Linked DNA regions of Arabidopsis thaliana. The protein of the gene in region 3 interacts with the protein of the main gene of each other region in a pairwise test. Each region holds a gene or a part of one and is shown on either strand. Other genes may lie near its edges.

Region 1 (6,185 bases), on a different chromosome or scaffold from region 3:
CGTCTCGAGATTGGACCAAACAGCCTTATCTCTCGCTCCAAGAAATACCGCTCTCTCGTAACATCCCCTGAGCTCTGCAGCACGCGATCGCTGATTGGTTGCACTGAGCCATCTTTCTTCGTCTGCTTGCGCATCTTACCTGATCCAACCCCTCGCTGGTTCGTCCTTACGGGTAGTCGTCGACTGAGGCCGGTCCCATCGCACCCCTATCAGGCTCCGGAATCATCTTCTTTTGTGGTAGTGAATTGGGGGATCTATGTTATGTAATCGGTGGAATCATAAACGGCAATCCCACTTCCGATGTCTTGTTCCTCAACTGTTTTTCTCAGACATGGCACCGCGTCCCGTCTATGAAGATGGCTCGTGCTTCCGCATCGGCAAGCCTCATAGACGGGAAGATCTACGTTTTTGGAGGGTGCCCAGAGGACGCTGATTCCTCAAACTGGGCGGAGGTATTCGATCCAGTTTACCAAACTTGGGGTATATTTAATACGCCGAAGATGGCCCATAGTATCAACCAAAGTGTGGTGATAGAGGAGAAGAAGGTTTACGCCGTGGATGAGGAGGACCAAAGCTTTAGCTTCTTGCCAAGTGAAGGTAGAATCTGGAAAAGCGGAAAAAAAGATTCTAAGGTAGGAAGTAGACACGATTGGTGTGTCATTGGGAAATTACTATACTGTCGTGCTACTCGCGGTAGAATACTATGGTGCCAACCAGATGAGTTGGACTGGAAAGAGGTAAAAGGTTTGGAACAGCTACAATTGTATCTCTCTGGTACAAGATACATCTTCAGACGTACCTCTGATAAACGACCGTCAAAGACCAACGTCAAATATGATATTAGAAAAATCTCTAGTAACTCTGCTGGGAACATTGTCATCTTCGGGAACGCACATATTGGAGACCCTGAGTGTGTGGAGCTTTGGTCTGCCGAGATTTCCATGGAGAGGCGCGAGGGAGGTGAGATTTGGGGGAAGATTGAGTGGTCCAATGTTGTCTTCAAACTTGATCCTCTCTCAAACTCATATAGCGTTGATGTCTTATTTTCTGCTTCTGTCCATTTGTGATATATTCATTCCAATATTTATTTGTATTGCATATTACTCAACGAATCAGATTGTGGGATATAAGCATATAGTAGGCAATTAATCATTTAACAGTAACAACATAACAGTTAGAGCCTCTTTCTTTTAAGAGGTATGTGGTGGAATTTGATGCTGAATTCTCATTAATGACTCGTTACCAACATAACAGGTAAAACCAACGTATCTTGACCCTTCTAGAAGCTAAGCCTCTCTATGCTTGTGCATCCTCAACTGCTATAGCAGCATGCATGATGCTTCAGCTGCTCATGAGTGTGTAGGAGCTGCAGAAAACTAATCTTGGACTCCTCCTATAAGGATCACACCCAAGGAGAATCTTGGTGACCAGGTTTTTGTGTGGAAGGAAAATGCTGCTTTTGTTGCGTATAGATTTTGAGGAAACAGAAAGCAGTTTTAGTGAACATATAATAATTAGGTTTTATATGCATACACTATGAAATCAATAATACTTAAGATCAAAAGAAAATCAAATTATCCTTGTAACATAAATAGTGATTCACGAAACAAAAGTTTTGCTTGCTTCCACATAGTCTCCATAGGCGTCTTCTTCTCTGCTTTCCAAGCTCTTTATCCTGCAATACTTGTAGTAGATATACTGCAGTATTATCTGTTTTGATTTTTCGAATTAAGGTAGCAAAGCTCAACCTAATGGCAATAAGATAACTTGTTTTCCACGTTGAGACTGTGCAAATGGTTAGAAAAGGATACAAATAGATCTAGTACGACGCAGACAATAGCATCAAGCAACCAAGGAAGGTTTGGTTTGATGTTGTCCCATTCAGTTGTTCGGACAAGAATACTACCAACATATGTTGCATTGGCTACTAGCGCGAAGATGAACATCAGTGGATTCAAACCCTGCCAAATATCAAAACATACTGTTTGTTAGATCGCATACCACAATAACATTTAAAGTATACATAAGGGAATATCTGTTGGTTGACTTGTAGTTTTAGTTTTTTTTTACCTCGACGCTTCCTCTTTTGATCTAGTTGTAGAGAAAAAAAAAAAAAAGATTAGTATCCAATATCATAAACAAGAAGCCAAGAAGAAGTAAATCAAGATTTGCTAAAGATGGCTTACGTTGAGCCAAATCTGAGGAATGCGACCGCCCATGTAAATGGCGGCCATTAGCCATCCCAACCATTGTCCCAACGCGCTATGCTCTACTATTCTTTCCTGCACAAAGACAACAATGTTTTGATATCATTTTCTCGCATTTCACTCATACCTTTAAAACAACAAAATGCTATATGTGTCACACACGTTTAGAAGCCGTCTGCTTGAAGCATGTGCATATTTTTCCGCTAAGCTCTTTGCCTGAAGCGGAAGACTAGCCGATGCAGCCAAAAACGTTCCAAAACCTGCCTGAGAAAAAGAAGTCCAAAATGGGTCAATATTTGTTCTCTTAGCTTAAAGTGATTTTAAGTTGGCTAAGTTAAAAAGAAATTACAAACCTGTCTAGGTATTGGCCTTGGTTTTGTAATGGTTTTAGCCGTTATGACAGGACACGTCGACATTGTCTCATCTTCGTCCGATGACGAACCATCATTGTCGATTGCCAGAGCCGAAGGGCCACTCTTAGCCACTCGAAAATACGATGTTCTTAAGGGAGGTGTGCCACTTCCGGCCAACGATCTCGCCGACCTGAACAAATAGCCCCCCGCAAAACCACTTGTCAGTTGTCACAATTGAATATAGAGAGCGGACATATATATTCTATGATATAAGAAAATTGAGAAAGCTAAAGGATAGGTTCGAGATTTTATCAGCAATTATGTAATTATTTTATGAAAAAAATCGTTACCCTTTCCCTCTGTTTCTTCAAAAGCTTGAGAAAACGACAAGAAAAAACAGAGTATGCAGGGGAAAGCATATAATAATAAAATATACGAAGCTTTTGTCACAAACTTTAACTTATTTGTAGACAAATTAGAGTAAATAAAATATGATTTATGTTTAATAATCCGTACGTGTAATAGAACTCTCTCCGAGAAGAATCTTTGTAAGATCCTCCTGGGATGGAAATAGCAGATCCCATCGTCTTTGGTGGTTTCAATGGTCTCTTCTCTTCATCTTCCTCATCCTTAACAAAAAAAAAAAACCCTCATTATGATAATCAACACCTAAAAATGTAATCAACTCTTATAATTATTACCTTTTGACAAATCTTGGTACGTCTATGTCTACAAAGTTTGTAGATGTAATCGTAGTAAATAGTCTGGATCACCAATACTACAGTGCTCACTGTGTAAAGCTATAGAGAGAGGAAAAAAAAATAGTTACGGGGCTGATTTGTAAATAGAATAAAATAAAGCGGTCGAATAAAATAAATAAATCCGAACAATTGACGCTAATTTTAATAGAAGCGACACGTAAGCTTTGTAGCGACATATGTTTATTTATGCGGCGAGAAGACGGTGATGTTACCAAGGCTGTGTAGAACTGAGTCGGCAACTACACAATTCAAAATAAGATAAACAATGAGAAAACAATAATAAGACATGAAAATAATTATGTACTATAGATGTTTTGTGTATCTTACAGTAGCTGGTTCAAGAAGACAACCGACGAGATTGAAGATATCACTGCACCGATTGATAAAATTCATATAAAATAACGTTAGGGAAAGAGAGAGATTATGATAACAAAGAAGAACTTGAGATGGTGTACGGACCCGGCGACCCAAGCGAGGAGGAAGGAGAGAGAGACACCGTTACTTGACTTTGTACGGAAGTTAGTGATGACCTGAGGAATCTCTGCGACTCCCCAACAGAGGAGGCTAGCGATTCCAAGTGCGAATGAAACGTCGTCGTTTAAGTTACAGAGACAGTCATCGAAGTATATCTCTACCCATCTCACGCATGTCTTCTTCTCCTTCAAGCAGTAACCTAAAGACACCATATGTCTCTTTGTTTAGGTCTTCTCTCTCTATATATGTTATATATGTCTTACTCTGTCTGTGTGTATGTCTCTCTCCCTCGGAGGTTCTTGATTATTTTATAGGATTATGGGTGAGGAAAATGACAAATCATAAGGAGATAGGGGAGAGAGATATCTGTAAATACATGTATTCATTCATATACTTGGGACCATTTATTTTACTTCGTATATTTTACCCACCATATCTAAGCTTGTTACGTTATACTTTATTGTAATGTTTCGAATCATTACATTATTAATCTTATAATATAGTTCTTTGATTGCTTTACTTTTGGATTAACAAGCATTAACAAGTTGTTAATGTTAAGGTGATTAATAATTATCAAGGGCACATAAAAACAAGAGATTTCAAAAATTAAAGTTGGAGGGTGGAGAAAACAGTCGACCTATGATTAATGAGCATATTCTCTTTTATCTTTTGATGCTCTGCTGAATCTCAGATGTTCAGCCTTTTTAGTACGGTTTATTAGGTATATTCTTTTTCACGATTCTCCAACATTTTGGTATACATTTCTGCGAAATATATATAACCTAAGCCCTAAGAAATTGTTTTCGTCGTCATACATATATGTTTTTAATGTTCTTTCAGTAATCCTAATCCATTGGCCGAAAATGTATGCAATAGTTAAAACCACATCTAATCCGGTTTGGTTATGTTTTGTACTGATTATTCAAATCAAAGTGTACGAGAACTTAATTGGAGTAAACTCCATGATGTTGACATTTTATGGTATAAAAGATGCTGTAAAAGCTTTACAACATTATTGATTAAGCAACTTGCATTTTGTAGTTTACTTGCCTATTGATGTTAATGAATCTGGAAAAGCCCGACAAAGTTGTACATTTGTAACTTTGTGGCGTAGCCACCATATTCGTGCGATTGGCTGCCCCCAAAACAACGGTCCACATTTTTACTGAACCAGGAATTTAAAATTTATTTTATTTTTGAATGAAGGTGCCAAAGCCAAATAGCCTGCTTAGTGCTGACTGCGTGGTGGCATCATGTTACGATGATGACGACATCTTTCATGAACCGACTTTCGAATTTAATGACATCTTTTAATGACACCTTGGTGAACTGTTTTGCATAAATTTCAAGTTAGTTAAAAAAAAAAGGGAAGATAGTTCTGTATATAATGTTGCAGTTTTGATTTGTTTCTCAAACACTAAAAACCAAAATTAAAATTTTGCAACCTTCAAATTATACTTTACAACTTTTTCAAAAGGCAATAGAATAATTTCAAGATTAGCTAGTGGATTAATGAAATTCTCTGGTTCATGAATTCTGAAATAACAAAAAAAAAAGAAAAAGAAACAAAGGTTAATACGTTTTGTCACGTTACGTCGTTTTTGCCCTCGACAAGACATTATGAACGATCAATTCATTAGCCCTAATTCTAAATGACGAGTACTCTACCAACCATTAATTTTGTTAACATCATACGATATAATGTTGACGAATGACGATAATATCTAGAAAAAATTGAATTCTTAGAGGTGACTTTTAAAATATGTCATACCAAAGAAATATATCATGTCCACTAAAACGTCTTCACTTTAATCGATCGTAAAAACATCAAGAATCCGTTTGCTCTCCCTCTCCAACATGAGTATCCTCATTTTTTTTTAACAAAAACTTTTTAATATATACTTTAAAATTAGATTTCAATATTAGCAAAAAACCATTAATTTCTATATCGATGAATAAAATTTTGATTTGGTTATAAGAAAAAACATTAGCTTAAATAAAATTTGTTGAAACATAAACGCTTGATAGAGAAAATGTTTTAGAAAAAAAAACCAAAGAGAGAAGAAAGAAACGGCGACGAGGCGCCGCGACAAGTTGGATGAGGAAGTGGGAAACACGTGTGAATATATCATCCTATCTCTCTATGTTTATCCTCATATCCCACATCTTCACAATGTTTTTTGTATCTCTTTATCATCATTTGTTGATAATGTCTAATATTTATATTTGGAAATTAATGATTGACAATTGACTTGAGACGTTTTCGTTTTTTATACTCTAGAGAATTGACTGAACATCTCGATCGAGAGAACTCATCTTCCCATAATACTAAGTTACTTGAATGTTGTTTTACACGATCTTGTAGACCATAGTAGTTTTGATCAACAAAA
Region 2 (6,078 bases), on a different chromosome or scaffold from region 3:
TCGTGAAGAATCTTAGCACAAGAATCAAAATGATAGCACAAAAGACCAAGTTTCAGAAACTTTTTTTGAAATTGTAAGGTGTGACTTGTGATTGACACGAATGGGTTTATATGCCTTGGAGATGAAGCTAATCCATCTTATAGACTGCTGACGTCTTTTTTCGCTTCTTTTCAATGCACTAGTATCTACAAATTAATTATGAAATTACAATGTTTTAAATTAATGTAGAAATTAATTATTTCAAATCACACAATTATTTGAATCAATTATGAAAACTGATAACTAATTTAACATCAATTGTTTACAAGTAATAGAAATATTGGCATGCATAAATTATTATATATGTTACAAATATTAACATCATTTAAATTAAATGATGCGAATTTTAACATTATTTTTTGTAATTGATATATGTTAAGATCGATTTACAAGAATCGATACAAAATATTTGCATCACTACTTTCAAAAGTCACTTTTTTTAGTGATGTAAATGTTTTTCTTGCCATCAATTATAAGTTTATAACTAATAAAAATATATAAAATAAATGATGTAAAAACACACATTTTTTTTGTAGTGATTGTACTTGATTAGTACTCAAATCATTTTGTCATCACATCAATCAAGTGTATATGCCTAAAATTTTAAAGAGTAGATTAATTAATCTCAAAACTCTTTCATTTGGTGGTTAAGTGAATTATTTCCGGCGAATGGGAGGAAATTCTTGATCATTAAAGATTATTTTCAATCACTCGTCAATCTATCCCTGCTTACGAAGAAGGGATTTATAGGGTGGAATGGGTTAACGAGTTTGAAGACCAGAACGTGTGGTTTAAAACATAACAGGGGCTGAGATCATAGAAAACATAATTCACGACAGAAACACATGCTCTAGCTGCGTTATGGACGGGCCGGGACTGCATAAAACTATTTGTTTCGGGGATAGTTTTACTTGTTATGTTTGGCTTGTGTGTATTTTTTGGTGTCGTGAATGTTTGATGTTATTTTAAATAGAGAGATAGAAGGAGAGGCCTTTGTTTCATGCTCTGACGTGACAGTGGGTCTCCTGCCTGCGACTGGTGATCACGGCAAGATGATTGGTCCGGCAAGGATGTGTCAGGTGTCCTAGTTTTCTTAAAACATTATAAGTATAGATCTTTGGCTCATGTAAAGACTTGGAAAACCTTATGTTTTGAGCAATGGAGTGTTTGTTCTTTTTGGAATTACATTGTTGTAAGTTTTCAAAGGTTGGACTTGAGATGTAAGTGGAAGTTTCCACAGTTGTAACTTTTGAAACATCTGCTTTATATAAAATAGTACCACTTTTTTGGAAAAAAAGACAAAAAAGAAAAGACTTGGGAAACCTTATGAATGTTAAAAGTGTTGCCACTTCAATACAAACATCGTACTTAAAAATACAAGTAACCACTTGGGCCATTACAAAGTAAATCAACCATCATATATATATACACAATCACGATGAATAATGTTTTTTGAGTATATTAATGAGAAAGCTTGTATGAGATGATCAAGATGATGGCGAGAACGAGAGCCACGATTACCGATGTAATGATCCATTTGTTCCTAGTCATTCTCCTTGACATAGCCGTCAACACCTTCTTGCTCTTGTCAATGGCGTCATCCACACCATGAAGCTGTGATTCAAAATCAGAAAAGTTAGCTTCTCAATGATCTAATTCAAACAAATCATTGGCACTGATAGATACCAAACCGAGCAATTGTAGACGGTACCTTGTTGTGCGCATGAAGGAGGGTTTGGCGTTGCTGACTCAAATCTTGGACAATTGAGATGCCAACCTCTTCTGTCTCCAGCATTAGTCTTCTACTCTCCCTGATTCTGTCACTTGATTGGTCAAGCCTCTCCACGGACATTGCCAATCTTCCTCTTTGATCAGCAGATACCTGGAACATGGACAATAATGTAAATCACAGCAAAGTCTTTGCCATCTAAAAGTTTGTGTGAAGATGAATATAAAGGAGGGTCCCCTCAGGACAAAGAAGCCTAACTGATGCAAGTCAATTAAGACAACTAAGATAATGAGAAAACAAGAGTTTCTATTTAGGAGTTAGAAGCTTACTGCATGCAGATCCGCCATTCCGGATTCCATCAACTCTTCACGGGAAGACGGCTTAGCATCTGCGGAAGAGACTCGTTTGAATTCCTTCTTCAATTGGTTCAGATCAGATTTATACTCTCTTAGTTTAGAAAGACACACAGCTTTAGCACTCGGCTGCAAACTTCTTGCCTCAAGATCCATTTTCCGGATCTACAAAAAAACCACAGAAGCATATATATTAATTTTAAAAAAGAAAGAACAGAACGGTAACAACATTAAAGCAAGTTAAATGCAAATACCAAGACATCAGCTTCGTCTATTCCAGACTTGATCTCAGCAATCTTCCCCTTCTTCTCCTCTATAAAAGCACACAACAATATCTAATCAAACCTCTACTCTGGTTCTATGGCACCACAAAATGTAACAACTCCATGCATGTCTATGTACTATAACTCCAAGAAAGACAGTGGTAACCATAGACTGACAAACAAATGAAAAAAAACACCAACTCAATAAACCTCTGCAGCTACATAACTAGGTTCTTATGATCTTATCTTCAGTCTTAATTTCTTCACAAAACTACTTGACCAATCCAAGTAAATTACATTCCCAGATACTACAGAACTCGTCAGATCGTAAACAAGCTAAAACGATTAGTAAACACTCATGCACCTCTACTTTACAAATACCCCCAAATTCGGACAAAATTAGATGAAATAGATTGAGAAACAAGTTAATAAATCTATGCAACTACATAACTATCTAGACCTAACTAGGTTATCGTCTTCTAATCCAAGCAATGAGAAACAGATCCTATGTCTCAACATTCCTAAATGTTACAAAACTTCGTCAGATCCTAAACAAGTCAGGACGATTAGTAAAGAACACTAGTCCACCAGCTACTTGTCACAGCTCAAAAGCTCCAATAACCCCAAATTCGAAGATTCGAATTTCTAAAATCAGGTAAATTCGAAGATCTCGCGTTCAAGATCCGAAATCGGGAGCGTCTGGATTTTACCTCCGTTGGAGAGAACCGATGCAGAGTGACATTTTCTAGAGAGATTGGTTGAGAGCTCGCAGTATTGACGCTCGTACCCTTCAAATACGTCGCTCATCTTCAATTATATGTTTCGATCTTGAGAAATTTGGTGGATTTTTTCTGATCAATCGGATCCTTTGTTTGATTGGATTGGATCGGATCTAGAAGCAAAACAGTTTCCTCTTTGCTTAAAGATAATCAAACAACTCTTCTTCTTCTTCCTTTGTATTTCTCTGCTCGGGGACAAGGAGGAACAATCAAACAAAGCGGTGCGTTTTATATTGACACGTGTCAGCCACTGCGTATTAAGTCCCCCATGCTGCAATCGATGCAAATGTAGGTGAGACAAACCAAACCGAATCAAACCGTTAATTAAGATTGAAATCTAAGTGTCTTTTCTCACTTTTTCAGCTCTCGGAAATAGTGTACATTTTATGCAGAACCAAGATTACTCGTCCAGGAAATAGACAAATCCATTGATAGAAGTCGAATCTGTTTTGCGTAACTATGTGGGATTCTTTGATAGTCTCATGAAATCAAAGAGATCTCAGAGGCTAAGAGTAAGATAGTCCACTCGAGTAAAAATGGGGGGAACAAGCAGAGATTCTCAAACTATATTAGCCAGGTGAAGAGAACCAACAGATATTATTAGAAATTCCACTTGGGATTGTTCGTGTTACATCACATTCATCGACTCAGTCATTATATTCTACAAGAGTACAAGGTAAACATAAAAAGGATCCTTTGGGCTCTTATAGCTCATTCTTGACCTTTGCATCCCCATTTGGTAACACACTTTGCGATTGCGCCAACCGTTTCGCTTCCTGAATATGACCAAAACTGTTTAATCCCCTTGACTTACTATAATATATTAATGAAGATGTACAATACTAGTCGAAGTTAACAACTTACAGCAGCAGAACTAGCACGGATTTCTCTATACATATCGACTTCATCAGGGAAATTCTGTTCAAGCTCCTCCAGAATATGTTTTCTCAAATCCTATTTATAACAAAATGTTGATTAAGAGACTCAGTAACCTTAAGAATCATACACAAATTAAGAATCAGAAGAAAAGGAGTCACCTTAAAAGCATCAGTCTTGCCCTTAGTAACTTGATTTCTAGCTATGCAGCTATTAAGAACATCTTTCGTAAACTCATCCGGGTTCTTCCCATCATCAATCAAGCTATACGAAAACGCAAACATAAGTAAGCAAGTAAAAGTATCTATCTTCAAAGTGCATACTAAAAACAAAAAGGACTTGTTTTCTCACTTAAGAACCTCCATGGGGATTTGAATGTTGCATTTCTCAGACAACTTAGTCATGTTATCTAGCTCCATCACAAGAGAGTTACTGCAAATACACACACACACACATATTCATTCAAACAATAGTTACAATACCCAAAACAATAAACACAGATGAGTAGAGGAGTTACTTACAGGCGCTGGAGGAGATGGAGTTGAGACGCGGGTGTGAAAGAAGTGACGGTAAGGTGTAACTGATGAAGGACTCCTAAAGTTTTCTCAATAGAGTTTATGACTTGGGAAAGATTCTCCTTTGAATCATCAGCAACGGTCACAGTTGAAGTCCCATCATTGGTTTGATATCTGATTGTACCATTGCTCCCACCAATCCCTGCACTTGTGTTCTGTGTTGGATCCATCACAAGCTGCCACAAAATATAAACTTGAGATATATGACCTGATGCGTTAGCGATAACAAAACAAAAACGAGAAAACGCAATTTTCGATCTCAAAATCAAACGAAAATTCTTCAGAAACCTTATTCAATTGGAGTGGATTTTGGTATCCAAATTTCTAATTTTAGATGCAAATTCCACAAAAACGCCCAGATCAAGAATAACGATAACAATAACAATTAGCGTAGAATGAAGATCCGTGACTTACCTACAACAGAGATGCGTTTGGCGAGAGTGAGGTGGAGATTCTCCGGACGAATTAGGTTTTCCTCCGAGCCTTACCGTGAAAACCGAAAAGGGACCGACGAAGACAGGGAAGCGGAAGATATTTGGACACTTTGCTGACGTGGAATATCATTATCTTGTATCTGTTTCGTTCATACTTTTATTTCATTCTTCATCAGCTGTGTTAAACTGTTAATGATCTTCTAAGTTCTAACATGTGATTATTAATATTTAAAATAGAAATGGCAGATTTAACAGAGTGCGATTCACTATTCACCCCCACAACAATAGTCATTCTATAAAGTTTTGATTGCTTAATCGATATGTTTATCTAACACCAACAGTTTGGTCCATTCCGGAGAAAGAGTTAGTATTGAACAAACTAAGTTAATTCTCTGCTTTAAAAACTCAAAACAGTAAGCAGAACAAATCGAGAAGATAAGACTGCAAGAGAAAATCCTCAACTTTCCACTAGGTAGTGTACTAAAACGCACGTTGCCGGGATGACGGATTCTCTTCAGGAAGATTGAGTATTTGCTGAATCTGGTAATGAGCCTGCAATGGTAATTTAACATTAATACTTATCCGATGACACTTTCATATATCCGTCTGATGCAGGGTTCCTACGCAATAGTGATTTTCTAGTCCAATTCAACCTCATAAGACAAATGATTGACTACTATCACAAAGCAAGATAAGAACTTGAACTTACCAGTTTGATGCGCCCTTTGATCTGCGTAATAACACCAGTATACTCTTCTAGTTGTCTGTTAAAAACAAAAAAAACCACATTTATATTGCATCAACATTCAGTCACTATACTGCATTCCACCGGAGAACTCATTCATCATATACAATGATACAACCATATTTTCCTTGTACATGGAGCAAGAAAACTAGAAAAGCAAAGATTTCTCTTACTTTTGAGTTCTTTCCTCCCTTTGTGCTATATAGTCAAGAGCTTCTTGCCGTGTGAACTCCACATAAAAGCCGAGGCCTACATCCATGAATATGTGCCGAGTATCTGGCCTGA
Region 3 (4,722 bases):
CTCAGCTACTTCAACTACTGTTGTTCTTCCCTTTATAGCTCCTCCTTCATCTCCAGCTTCGTTTTTGCAATCGGATCCTTCATCGGTTTCTCACTCGCCTGTTGGTCCACTTTCTCTTACTAGCAATACATTCTCGCCTAAGGAGCCTCAATCTGTCTTTACCGTTGGACCTTATGCTAATGAAACTCAACCAGTCACTCCTCCGGTGTTCTCTGCGTTTATAACTGAGCCATCTACTGCACCGTATACTCCACCTCCTGAATCATCAGTCCATATAACTACACCTTCTTCACCTGAAGTGCCCTTTGCTCAGTTGCTTACTTCTTCGTTGGAGCTAACTCGGAGGGATAGTACTAGTGGGATGAATCAAAAGTTTTCGTCTTCGCACTATGAGTTTCGGTCTAATCAGGTGTGTCCGGGGAGTCCTGGTGGTGGTAATCTAATCTCTCCCGGGTCAGTGATTTCAAACTCTGGTACATCTTCTCCTTACCCTGGTAAATCACCCATGGTTGAGTTTCGAATAGGCGAGCCTCCAAAGTTCTTGGGTTTTGAGCACTTTACAGCTCGTAAATGGGGATCGAGGTTCGGTTCTGGATCGATCACACCTGTTGGGCATGGTTCAGGTTTGGCTTCAGGCGCTCTGACACCAAATGGTCCAGAGATAGTATCTGGAAACTTAACACCCAACAATACCACATGGCCTCTTCAAAATCAGATCTCTGAGGTCGCTTCACTGGCAAATTCGGATCATGGCTCTGAAGTCATGGTAGCAGATCACAGAGTTTCGTTTGAGTTAACAGGTGAAGACGTTGCACGTTGTCTTGCAAGCAAGCTAAATCGATCACACGACAGAATGAACAACAATGACCGGATCGAAACAGAGGAGAGTTCATCAACAGACATAAGAAGAAACATAGAGAAAAGGTCAGGAGACAGAGAGAACGAACAGCATAGAATTCAGAAGCTGAGTTCCTCATCGATTGGATCTAGCAAAGAATTTAAATTCGACAACACGAAAGACGAGAATATCGAGAAGGTTGCAGGAAACAGCTGGAGTTTCTTCCCGGGGTTACGATCTGGAGTCAGCTAACCAAATTAAAATGACATCTCTTCTTCTTCTTCCTCATTACCAAAGACAGAGATATAAAACCCTATAAGTAACAAACCTTGAACATGGATCGTGAAAAAAGGTAAGAGATTTGGGTTCTAACAACTTATACACACTGAATAAATAAGCTTAAAGCTTTGATTTGCAGTTAACTTCTGTACTCATGTAGTTGGAAACTTTGGAATATTCTTGGATCAGCTCCTACATCTAATCTTGTTACATTGATATAAATTGTTTATTTCTTGTTTTACTGTTTCATACAAATATATTGTTTGAACTGAGATCGTGAATGGTCTTATTCTATATCATTACTAAAACATTTTCATTTCTGTTCTTTCAGAAACATAGATTCGGTTATTATCGTAAGAAATCTAATACAACTGTGAACTACTACATAAACTGAATTGTTCAAAAGAAAACATCGAAATAATATACAGAACAAAAAGGGAAAACAACAAGAGCTGTGAACCACAAAGGAATTAAACCGGGTTTTGACTCTCCTTATTGGAACCGGAACTAAACCGGGATTTCAATCCTCCTTATCAGAACCGTAATACCTCTTAAACGCTCTGGGTAGATAAACCGGAATCAAAACACCAAAGAGATTAAACGACCAAATCCCTAAATTAGCCGCCGCCAAAACTTTCCCGGCATACATCCGCCGCGCAGAAACCGTCCCCGTCACATCCTCCCTCGAGAACTCACTCATAATCCACTCCACAAGAGTCAAAACCCTCCTGGCGTTGTAAACAATCGGAACAAGAATCCTCGCCGGAGCAGAGAAGCCAAACATGGTCGCTAATCCTTCCATAAAAATCTGACTCGCTAAAAGAAACACGTGCGGTGCAGCTGCGCTAACACCGTTCTTATCATCCTCAACGATTCCTTCGAAGATGTAACAGATCGGAATGATAAGCCCGACGATCCCCGCCGCTGTAACATAGATACGGAAGATTTTGTTTGTGGAGCTTGTGAGAGGAGCGTCACGGTTTGGATTGTTGTGTGGTGGGAAGATAAGTTTCGAGAGGAAGAAGAAGTAGATGAGAGTGAGGATCGTGAATATGAAATCTTGGATTGTTACGAGACCACTTGCGGAGAGAACGATGATTATTGCGAGGATGTTTAGTTGTCGGAATGAGAAGAATCCGGCGGGTTTTCCGGTGGATGATACTGTTGAGGTGGATTGGGTTTGATGTTCTTCTTCTTCTTCTTTGGGTAAGGTTATGTCGTTGTACGTTGGACCGACACCTCCAGACATCGTTTTGGTGTAAGTTTTTTTTTTTTGTTTTCTCGGGAAAATGTGGTGAGAAAGTTTTAGAGGTGGAGGAAGATAAAAAGAGTGTGAAGAAGGGGACACGTGGCGGATAGTGAAGAGTTTTGAATGGAAGAGGTTTAGAAGACGTGGCGGATTATTGTTGTGCTCACAATTAGTTTAGATTTTATTATTTTAACTACATGCAGGTAATTTCGTAAAAGTTCTTAAGAAACATATAAATATATGTGTTAATAGGAAGCCTAATTATTTTGGCTTTCTGGACGTAAGTGCACTAGGCTTTGTAGTTATAGATTTCAATTATAAGCTTCAATGATTACTAGTTATAAAAAATGATATAATTAGTTAGCAGGAAATGAATCCGGAACCATAAACTGTAGAATTGATTTAACTAAAAAGGAACTAATTACTAGAAATCGTATGAAACAAGGCATTGTAGATTACTAGACTTGTAGTAGAATATGGAATATTGTAGATATTCTACAAGAAGAGCTTAGATCATGGGTGAGAATACTTGGTTGTAGAAACAACTTTAAATTCGACCTCCAATGTCAAAGTGTCATTGTCCAAGTAATTACACTCCCGATGGCTATAGCCGCAAAATCTTCGCAACCCCACCCTTGAGTTGATTTCTTGTAACAGACGTTAACTGCAAGAAAAATAAATATATGTAAGGTATTGAAAATTTAGTTAAGACTTGAAAAAAGCAACTAAGTGATTTATTCAAGAATATAGAAAATTGTGTTTCAAAGTTAATTATACGTTTCTGTGTGACGTGATTGTTGTATACATGTGGACGTGGGTATAATACTCGGAGATCTGCATGCACGTAAATCTTCTCATCCTCCGAAAAGGTTTCACTATCAGCTATATATATGCAGAAATAAGGACAACCATTTGCCATCTGCCTCTCTTCCCTTTGGATACATCTTCAAACACCTATAGAAAAGTCACATTATTTTGTATACACTTAGCATACATAGACGTGTATATATATTCAATGACTTATTAGCCTCACCATTCTCTTCCTCCAACTGAAAAGTTGTTTGACACATAAAGATTCTCTGTCAATAAGGAGAAACCATTGGCACTCCAGGAGAATGTGGATGGTGAGAGTTTCTGATCAAAAGACATCACTTCCCAATTGGTAAGGGGTGGAACAACCATCACTTCAACACCAAACTCGCATTTTTGCCCGTCGAATATATATCCATTTTTTGGATTTTCGAATAAGTGGAGAGGAAGCATTTGAGAGAATCCCCATACCATTCTTAAAGCATTGAAACGCTTTACTTCAGTATCTATTAGAAAAAATGGAGTAATTCAACGTGACATATGTGACAAATGAACAAGTCTTATATAGTTAATATAAATATTGAATAATATAGATATGTTTTAAACCAACAACTTTGAATAGTAAAGTACATTTGTTCTTTCTTATTGTAGACGAAGAACTTGACATATGCAAAAACTTCAGATGTGCTGTCTATTTCTACGTACATTGAAATATAACCACTTCCATGGTCCTCGTCGTTCCCTTTTGGATATATAATCAATTTCCTGCAGGTTTTCTTTTTAACAGAAATATTATTGCATAAAGTAAGAAAGATTCATGTTCTTTTCTTATGATGAAGATTTAATTTAACCCTTCAGGAGCTAATGTGTACATAGTAAAATCATGGTCTATATGTGTTACATGTCTCATAAAACATAAATGGTAATATATAAGAGCAAGATTATAGCTACATACCAGTAATACCCGCCTACCGTGAAACGACGAGATTGGTATTTTTCATTGTTAAGTTGTGCGAGATTCTCAATCTTGACAGAATAGCAAGAAGGCGAGGATGTTCCGTGAAACTGCTCGCAATCGTAGAAGTTGGATTTGAGCATGTCGTTTCACCGTATGATAACGTTGTTGCATTCGAAATTGTGTTACCCATTCTTCATGAACCTTATTGGAAAGCAGAAAGAATGTTGCCAGATAGCGTTACATATAGAGAACACAAAATCTCTTATGATATCGTTTTTCAACTTTTAATGTGATTTAATCAAAGATTCATCTTTATCACTTCGTGATATCTTAGCTAATATTTATTTTATTGTTTTGAATTCAACATAGAAATCTCATCATCTCTACCTTTTTTTAATCAAAACAATAGTATCTTTTATCATATCTAACTAAAAATTTACTGCCAAGGTTTTGGTAACTAATTTTAAATATATGGTCAGATATTAAGAAAAATTAGTGAGACTCAACTTAATTTCCTATCATGTTTCAAAATTTGAAGTTGATCCAATACCATATTTATTCTTCAATTGCTTGTAGAATGGATTCAAA
Region 4 (5,422 bases), on a different chromosome or scaffold from region 3:
CTTTATGGATTAAAACAAGCCCCAAGAGCTTGGAATACTCGAATTGACAAGTATTTCAAGGAGAAAGATTTCATCAAGTGTCCATATGAGCATGCACTCTATATCAAAATTCAAAAAGAAGATATATTGATCGCATGCTTATATGTAGATGATTTGATATTCACGGGTAACAATCCAAGCATGTTCGAAGAATTCAAGAAAGAGATGACGAAGGAGTTCGAGATGACGGACATTGGATTGATGTCTTACTATCTCGGAATTGAAGTAAAACAAGAAGACAATGGAATATTCATAACTCAAGAAGGCTATGCTAAGGAGGTACTTAAGAAGTTCAAGATGGATGACTCAAATCCCGTTTGTACACCAATGGAATGCGGAATCAAACTATCAAAGAAAGAAGAAGGGGAAGGAGTGGATCCAACTAACCTTTAAGAGCTTGGTTGGAAGCTTGAGATACTTAACATGCACAAGGCCCGATATTTTATATGCGGTCGGAGTTGTTAGTCGTTACATGGAGCATCCAACAACAACTCATTTCAAAGCGGCAAAAAGGATTCTTCGCTATATCAAAGGTACCGTAAACTTTGGCTTACATTATTCAACTACTAGTGATTACAAGCTTGTTGTATGCCATGCTATTTGGTTAAGAAACCTCTTGAAAGAGTTAAGCTTACCACAAGAGGAACCAACGAAGATCTTTGTGGACAACAAGTCGGCAATAGCTTTGGCGAAGAACCCGGTCTTCCATGATCGAAGTAAACACATTGACACACGCTATCACTACATTAGAGAGTGTGTTAGCAAGAAGGACGTGCAATTAGAGTATGTGAAGACACATGATCAAGTAGCCGATATTTTTACCAAGCCTCTCAAGCGTGAAGACTTTATCAAGATGAGGAGTTTGCTTGGAGTAGCAAAATCAAGTTTAAGAGGGGGTGTTGAAAGTTAAACTTGATTTTGAATCAAGTTTAATTATTGGATCAATTATCCAATAATTAATTATGGCCAAATCCAAGTTCTAGAGTTTTCTCTAGAAATATCATCATTTCCACCTCCTTAAAGGATTCTAGAAATTTTCTAGAATCATCTTCCACCTCCTTAAACATAAAAATCTAGATACTCTAATAGAATAATCTAGATAATTTGAATAATGTAATCTAGATCTTATGTAAGAACTCTCTAGACTTAGGATTAAAATATTTTAGATATTTTGTAGTTTGGAGGCTATAAATACCTCCTCCCCCTCTCAAATGTTGTAATGTTGTGAAGTTGTATTCAAGTTTAAAGCAAAGTAATAAAAGTTCTATTTCCTAAAAAACTCTCTCAAAACACTTAAACACTTTCTCCATTACCTCTAAAAGAATTTTACTCTAACAGCTCTTCCTGTTCTTAGAAACTCTGGTGCGATATACCCGAATGTTCCTGCAACTCTCGATGTCTGAGGATCAAATCCCTGATCATACAGCTTCGCCAGTCCGAAATCCCCGAGCCTCGCATTCATGTCGTGGTCGATTAGAACATTAGCCGGTTTGATATCTCTATGAATGATGACTTGAACCCATTCTTGATGCAGGTGGAGTAGAGCAGATGCAACGTCTTTGATGATCTTGAAACGTTGTTCCCAAGTGAGCCGTTCTTGATTCTCATTCGTGTTGCTACGGTTTAAATACTTGTCAAGGCTTCCATTAGGCATAAAATCATAAACTAAGTAGAGATTCTCTTTATGCTTACAATATCCCAAAAGCCTGACTAGATTTGGATGTCTGAGACGACCAATGGTCGATATCTCGGCTAGAAACTCGCTCATCCCCTGTCTTGAATCATGAGAAGTCCGTTTGACAGCGATCTCTGCATCGGAACCCGGAAGTGTTCCTTTGTAGACTTGACCAAAGCCTCCTTTCCCAAGAAGTTGTTTCTCTTTGAAACCCTTTGTGGCATTGAAAAGCTCCTTATAAGAAAACCTATGAGGTCCACATTGAATCTCCCATTCCTCAAGAACCTCCTTAACCTTCTTATGCCTCAAATAGAAGACGAAACCGATTCCTGAGGCGAGAAACACAGCAAACAAGGCCAGCGTTAAGCAGACCGCCAAAACCGTCCTTAATCTGTCAGACGGTTTCTTCGGATATGGAGGAAGGGTGGGGACTCTTCCGAACTCCAACGGTTGATAGACTGCTTCAGGATATGTGTACACCAGCACCATATAATGGAGCGCTCTAATGGATCCCGTAGATGCTGTGAAGCCAATATGCATGTGTTTCAAAACATACTGCGAGAGATCTCGGTTTAATGACAAAAGTGGTTTGCGTGGCGGAACAAGAAACTCAGCAGGGCATAAGGTAACATCGAGCTTTGTATCCGGATGACTATAAACGATCGAAAGCCGCATTAACTTTCCGCTGATCAAAGAAAGATTTTTGAAACTTCCATCATTATCATCATAGTAACCAGCAGAAGCAGAGGCAACAGATCTCAAGCCATTAATGTTAATCCCAACATGGTTATCATCAATATCTTCAAACTCTTCGTCTTTATGTATATCTAACTCTATAGCTATCACGTGATTCGAAGTTTTACCGTTGTTTGTTTTGTTGAATAATCCGAGGTACTGATCGGAGGAAGCTCCGGGAAGGCCTCTTGTAGGAGAAAAAGCGAAAGTCATACCGTGAGAGCCTTGCTGCTTATGCTCAGGGACAATAGCGAAGAAGAAGTTGATGGAGAAAGACTGGTCCTTCATTTCAAATGTTGTGTTGTCAAAAGCTTGACCGTAGGAATGCTTCGTGGTGTTCGTTAAAACCAAGTAACTATTTTCGTTGAAAACTGCAGATCCATCCAGGATATATGTGCCATGGGAGTTGTAAGTAAATGAAAACAGAGTAAGCCACTGAACAAGAACTATTTGTAAGACTTTGACTTCACTAAACATGTTCTTGTTCGTTTTTTTTTTTTGGCTTATGGGAAGGTTTTGATCGTAATGTGATATTTATCAGAAGAATTATGTAAGAAGATACAACATAAAAATAAGTAAAACTGTATGAATATGATCAAGCCAATATAATGTGAACGAAACTGGTCATGTCATAAACATATGTAGTTTGTATTTAATTACCCACATGGCCTAGATGATCAAACCGCAACACAATAAACAAATAATCTTCTGATCATTTTTCAATTAATAATAGCAATTATTGTGGGATTGTCAGAGTGTAGAAGCGGACCCATGTTAGGTTTGCAAACCTATTTTACTACTGAAATTTTGCTATATTGGTTATGAGATTATGACATCCTATTTGCTTTTTGTATTTTTTTTCTTCTTTTTACAAAACATTATTGTTAATTATTCTCTTGAATCTCTTCTTATCGTTCCATTAATGTGTTGATTAGTCTTAGGACTTAAACTATTGTTATTGTTGCTGTTTACCTATTGCTGTTAATTATTTATCTAATGAATATTCATGTTATATGCGGCCAACGAACTAAGATAAGTAAGCAAACTTAAGAGAGAAAAAACACATGTACACTATTTAGTAATTACGCACTGTGCATGGCCAAGATAAAGTCGTAAATCAATTATAAGAAAACAAATCTTCTAATTCTTGCTAAGATTAAATAGCGATTATAGTGGAAAGCATAATAAGCAATAATCAAAAAAACTTTTCTTCTCAGATCTCTACCAAAGAAATAAAAAGGTCAAAAAAGCTTCTCTTATCTTTTCTACAACCTAATCCGTCGAACATTACGGAGCGTAGAAATGGATAAACAATGTAAGTTTAACAACCAACGTGTTGACCATAAAATGTAAAAAAAATAAGTTTTTTGACATGTTTTAATGTAAAGTTTAACAGATTTTGTATTGGTCTACAGAAAAAAAAAAGTTAATTAAGTTATAAGTCATTGCTCTTGAAAATTTGGTTTTATAAACAAATTCGAACAAGATTACTTTGAAAGCAAGAATGAAACAAACATATTATAACCCTAAAAGTAAACCCTAGAAATTTAGGGATGAATTGGAAGGCATTCATGATTCAAAGATACAGAAACATGTACTCATTTATCAAATAGACGGATACAGAAGCTCCCGATGGAATATAAATGTTTGATCAAAACTAACTTATTTTTATGGTTTCAGCGTCCATGGGACACAAAAGAATTCGTCAACGTCATTGTACCAAAAGAATTCAGATCAAGACCAAGTAGTACTTCCATTGATGTCTCAGGAATTCCTCTCAATCTCTCAGCCCTAACAACATCAAGAAGATTATTGGGAAGATGCGAAACGCCATTCAAGATCTGCAAAACCGCACTCATGTTCGGTCTAATCAATTCAGTGTGATGTGCACACAACAGACCTAGCTTCAAAACAAGCTCAATTTCTCCTCTGTTTTGTTCTTGACGAATACTTTCCTCAGCTGCATCGAAAAGTTTCCCACTTTCCCAAAGCTCTAAAATCCAATCAACAAGAACCGCTTCATTTTCTGCTGCACGTCTCTCAATCAATCTTCTACCACAAACGACTTCAAGCATAACCAACCCAAAGGCGTAAACATCTGTGCTTGTGGTTGCTCTTCCTGTTCTTAAGAGCTCAGGTGCAATATAACCTAATGTTCCCGCTACTCTAGATGTCTGAGGATCAAATCCCTGATCATACAGCTTCGCCAATCCGAAATCCCCGAGCCTCGCATTCATGCCGTGGTCGAGTAGAACATTAGCCGGTTTTATATCTCGATGAACGATGACTTGTACCCATTCTTGATGCAGGTGTAGTAGAGCAGTTGCAACGTCTTTGATGATCTTGAAACGTTGTTCCCAAGTAAGCCGTTCTTGATTTTCATTCGTGTTGCTACGGGTTAGACACCTGTCAAGGCTTCCATTAGGCATAAAGTCATAAACTAAGTAGAGATTCTCTTTATGCTTACAATATCCCAAAAGCCTGACTAGATTTGGATGTCTGAGACGACCAATGGTCGATATCTCGGCTAGAAATTCGCTCATCCCTTGTCTTGAATCATGAGAAGTCCGTTTTACAGCGATCTCTGCATCGGAACCCGGAAGCATTCCTTTGTAGACTTGACCAAAGCCTCCTTTCCCAAGAAGTTGTTTCTCTTTGAAACCCTTTGTGGCATTGAAAAGCTCCTTATAAGAAAACCTATGAGGTCCATTCTGAATCTCCCATTCTTCAAGAACCTCCTTAACCTTCTTATGCCTCACATAAAAGACAAAACCTATTCCGGAAGCGACTAATGCAGTGAACACGGCCAACGTTAAGCAGACCGCTAAAATCCTCCGTGTTCTATCATACGACTTCTTTGGATATGGAGGAAGGGTTGGGATTACGCCAAGGTCCCATGCTGGATATATAACTCCTTCTTCATAGGAAAATTGCATCACATAATAGAGTGCTCCGATCGACCCGGTCGATGCC

The links.
Region 1: the proteins of AT5G52420 (region 3) and AT4G36850 interact in a protein complementation assay, tested with the Arabidopsis thaliana proteins (one large-scale study listed by BioGRID).
Region 2: the proteins of AT5G52420 (region 3) and VTI1B interact in a protein complementation assay, tested with the Arabidopsis thaliana proteins (one large-scale study listed by BioGRID).
Region 4: the proteins of AT5G52420 (region 3) and AT3G59730 interact in a protein complementation assay, tested with the Arabidopsis thaliana proteins (one large-scale study listed by BioGRID).

What each region holds. Positions count from the first base shown.
Region 1 is NC_003075.7:17,351,816-17,358,000, forward strand, and holds AT4G36850 (PQ-loop repeat family protein / transmembrane family protein), read right to left. Parts: upstream 4,223-6,185; 5' UTR 4,008-4,222; coding exon 3,781-4,007; intron 3,692-3,780; coding exon 3,649-3,691; intron 3,561-3,648; coding exon 3,534-3,560; intron 3,361-3,533; coding exon 3,262-3,360; intron 3,190-3,261; coding exon 3,077-3,189; intron 2,751-3,076; coding exon 2,561-2,750; intron 2,472-2,560; coding exon 2,370-2,471; intron 2,283-2,369; coding exon 2,187-2,282; intron 2,092-2,186; coding exon 2,071-2,091; coding exon of another isoform or gene 2,056-2,070; exon of another isoform or gene 1,962-2,055; coding exon 1,812-1,961; coding exon of another isoform or gene 1,749-1,811; exon of another isoform or gene 1,711-1,748; coding exon 1,600-1,710; 3' UTR 1,476-1,599; downstream 1-1,475. Other genes in the region: AT4G36840 (Galactose oxidase/kelch repeat superfamily protein), read left to right, coding at 351-1,067.
Region 2 is NC_003070.9:9,213,216-9,219,293, reverse strand, and holds VTI1B (Vesicle transport v-SNARE family protein), read right to left. Parts: upstream 3,525-6,078; 5' UTR 3,192-3,524; coding exon 3,095-3,191; intron 2,435-3,094; coding exon 2,376-2,434; intron 2,287-2,375; coding exon 2,098-2,286; intron 1,922-2,097; coding exon 1,751-1,921; intron 1,654-1,750; coding exon 1,501-1,653; 3' UTR 1,284-1,500; downstream 1-1,283. Other genes in the region: AT1G26665 (Mediator complex, subunit Med10), read right to left, coding at 3,868-3,939, 4,028-4,117, 4,201-4,303, 4,391-4,471, 4,561-4,784; AT1G26660 (Prefoldin chaperone subunit family protein), read right to left, coding at 5,529-5,600, 5,758-5,812, 5,967-6,074. UniProt on the Arabidopsis thaliana protein: Together with either SYP41 or SYP61, required for membrane fusion; the fusion of phospholipid vesicles containing SYP41 or SYP61 and VTI12 is triggered by YKT61 and YKT62.
Region 3 is NC_003076.8:21,279,461-21,284,182, reverse strand, and holds AT5G52420 (uncharacterized protein), read right to left. Parts: upstream 2,411-4,722; 5' UTR 2,367-2,410; coding exon 1,638-2,366; 3' UTR 1,377-1,637; downstream 1-1,376. Other genes in the region: AT5G52430 (hydroxyproline-rich glycoprotein family protein), read left to right, coding at 1-1,090.
Region 4 is NC_003074.8:22,062,954-22,068,375, forward strand, and holds AT3G59730 (Concanavalin A-like lectin protein kinase family protein), read right to left. Parts: upstream 3,005-5,422; 5' UTR 2,927-3,004; coding exon 1,355-2,926; downstream 1-1,354. Other genes in the region: AT3G59740 (Concanavalin A-like lectin protein kinase family protein), read right to left, coding at 4,126-5,422.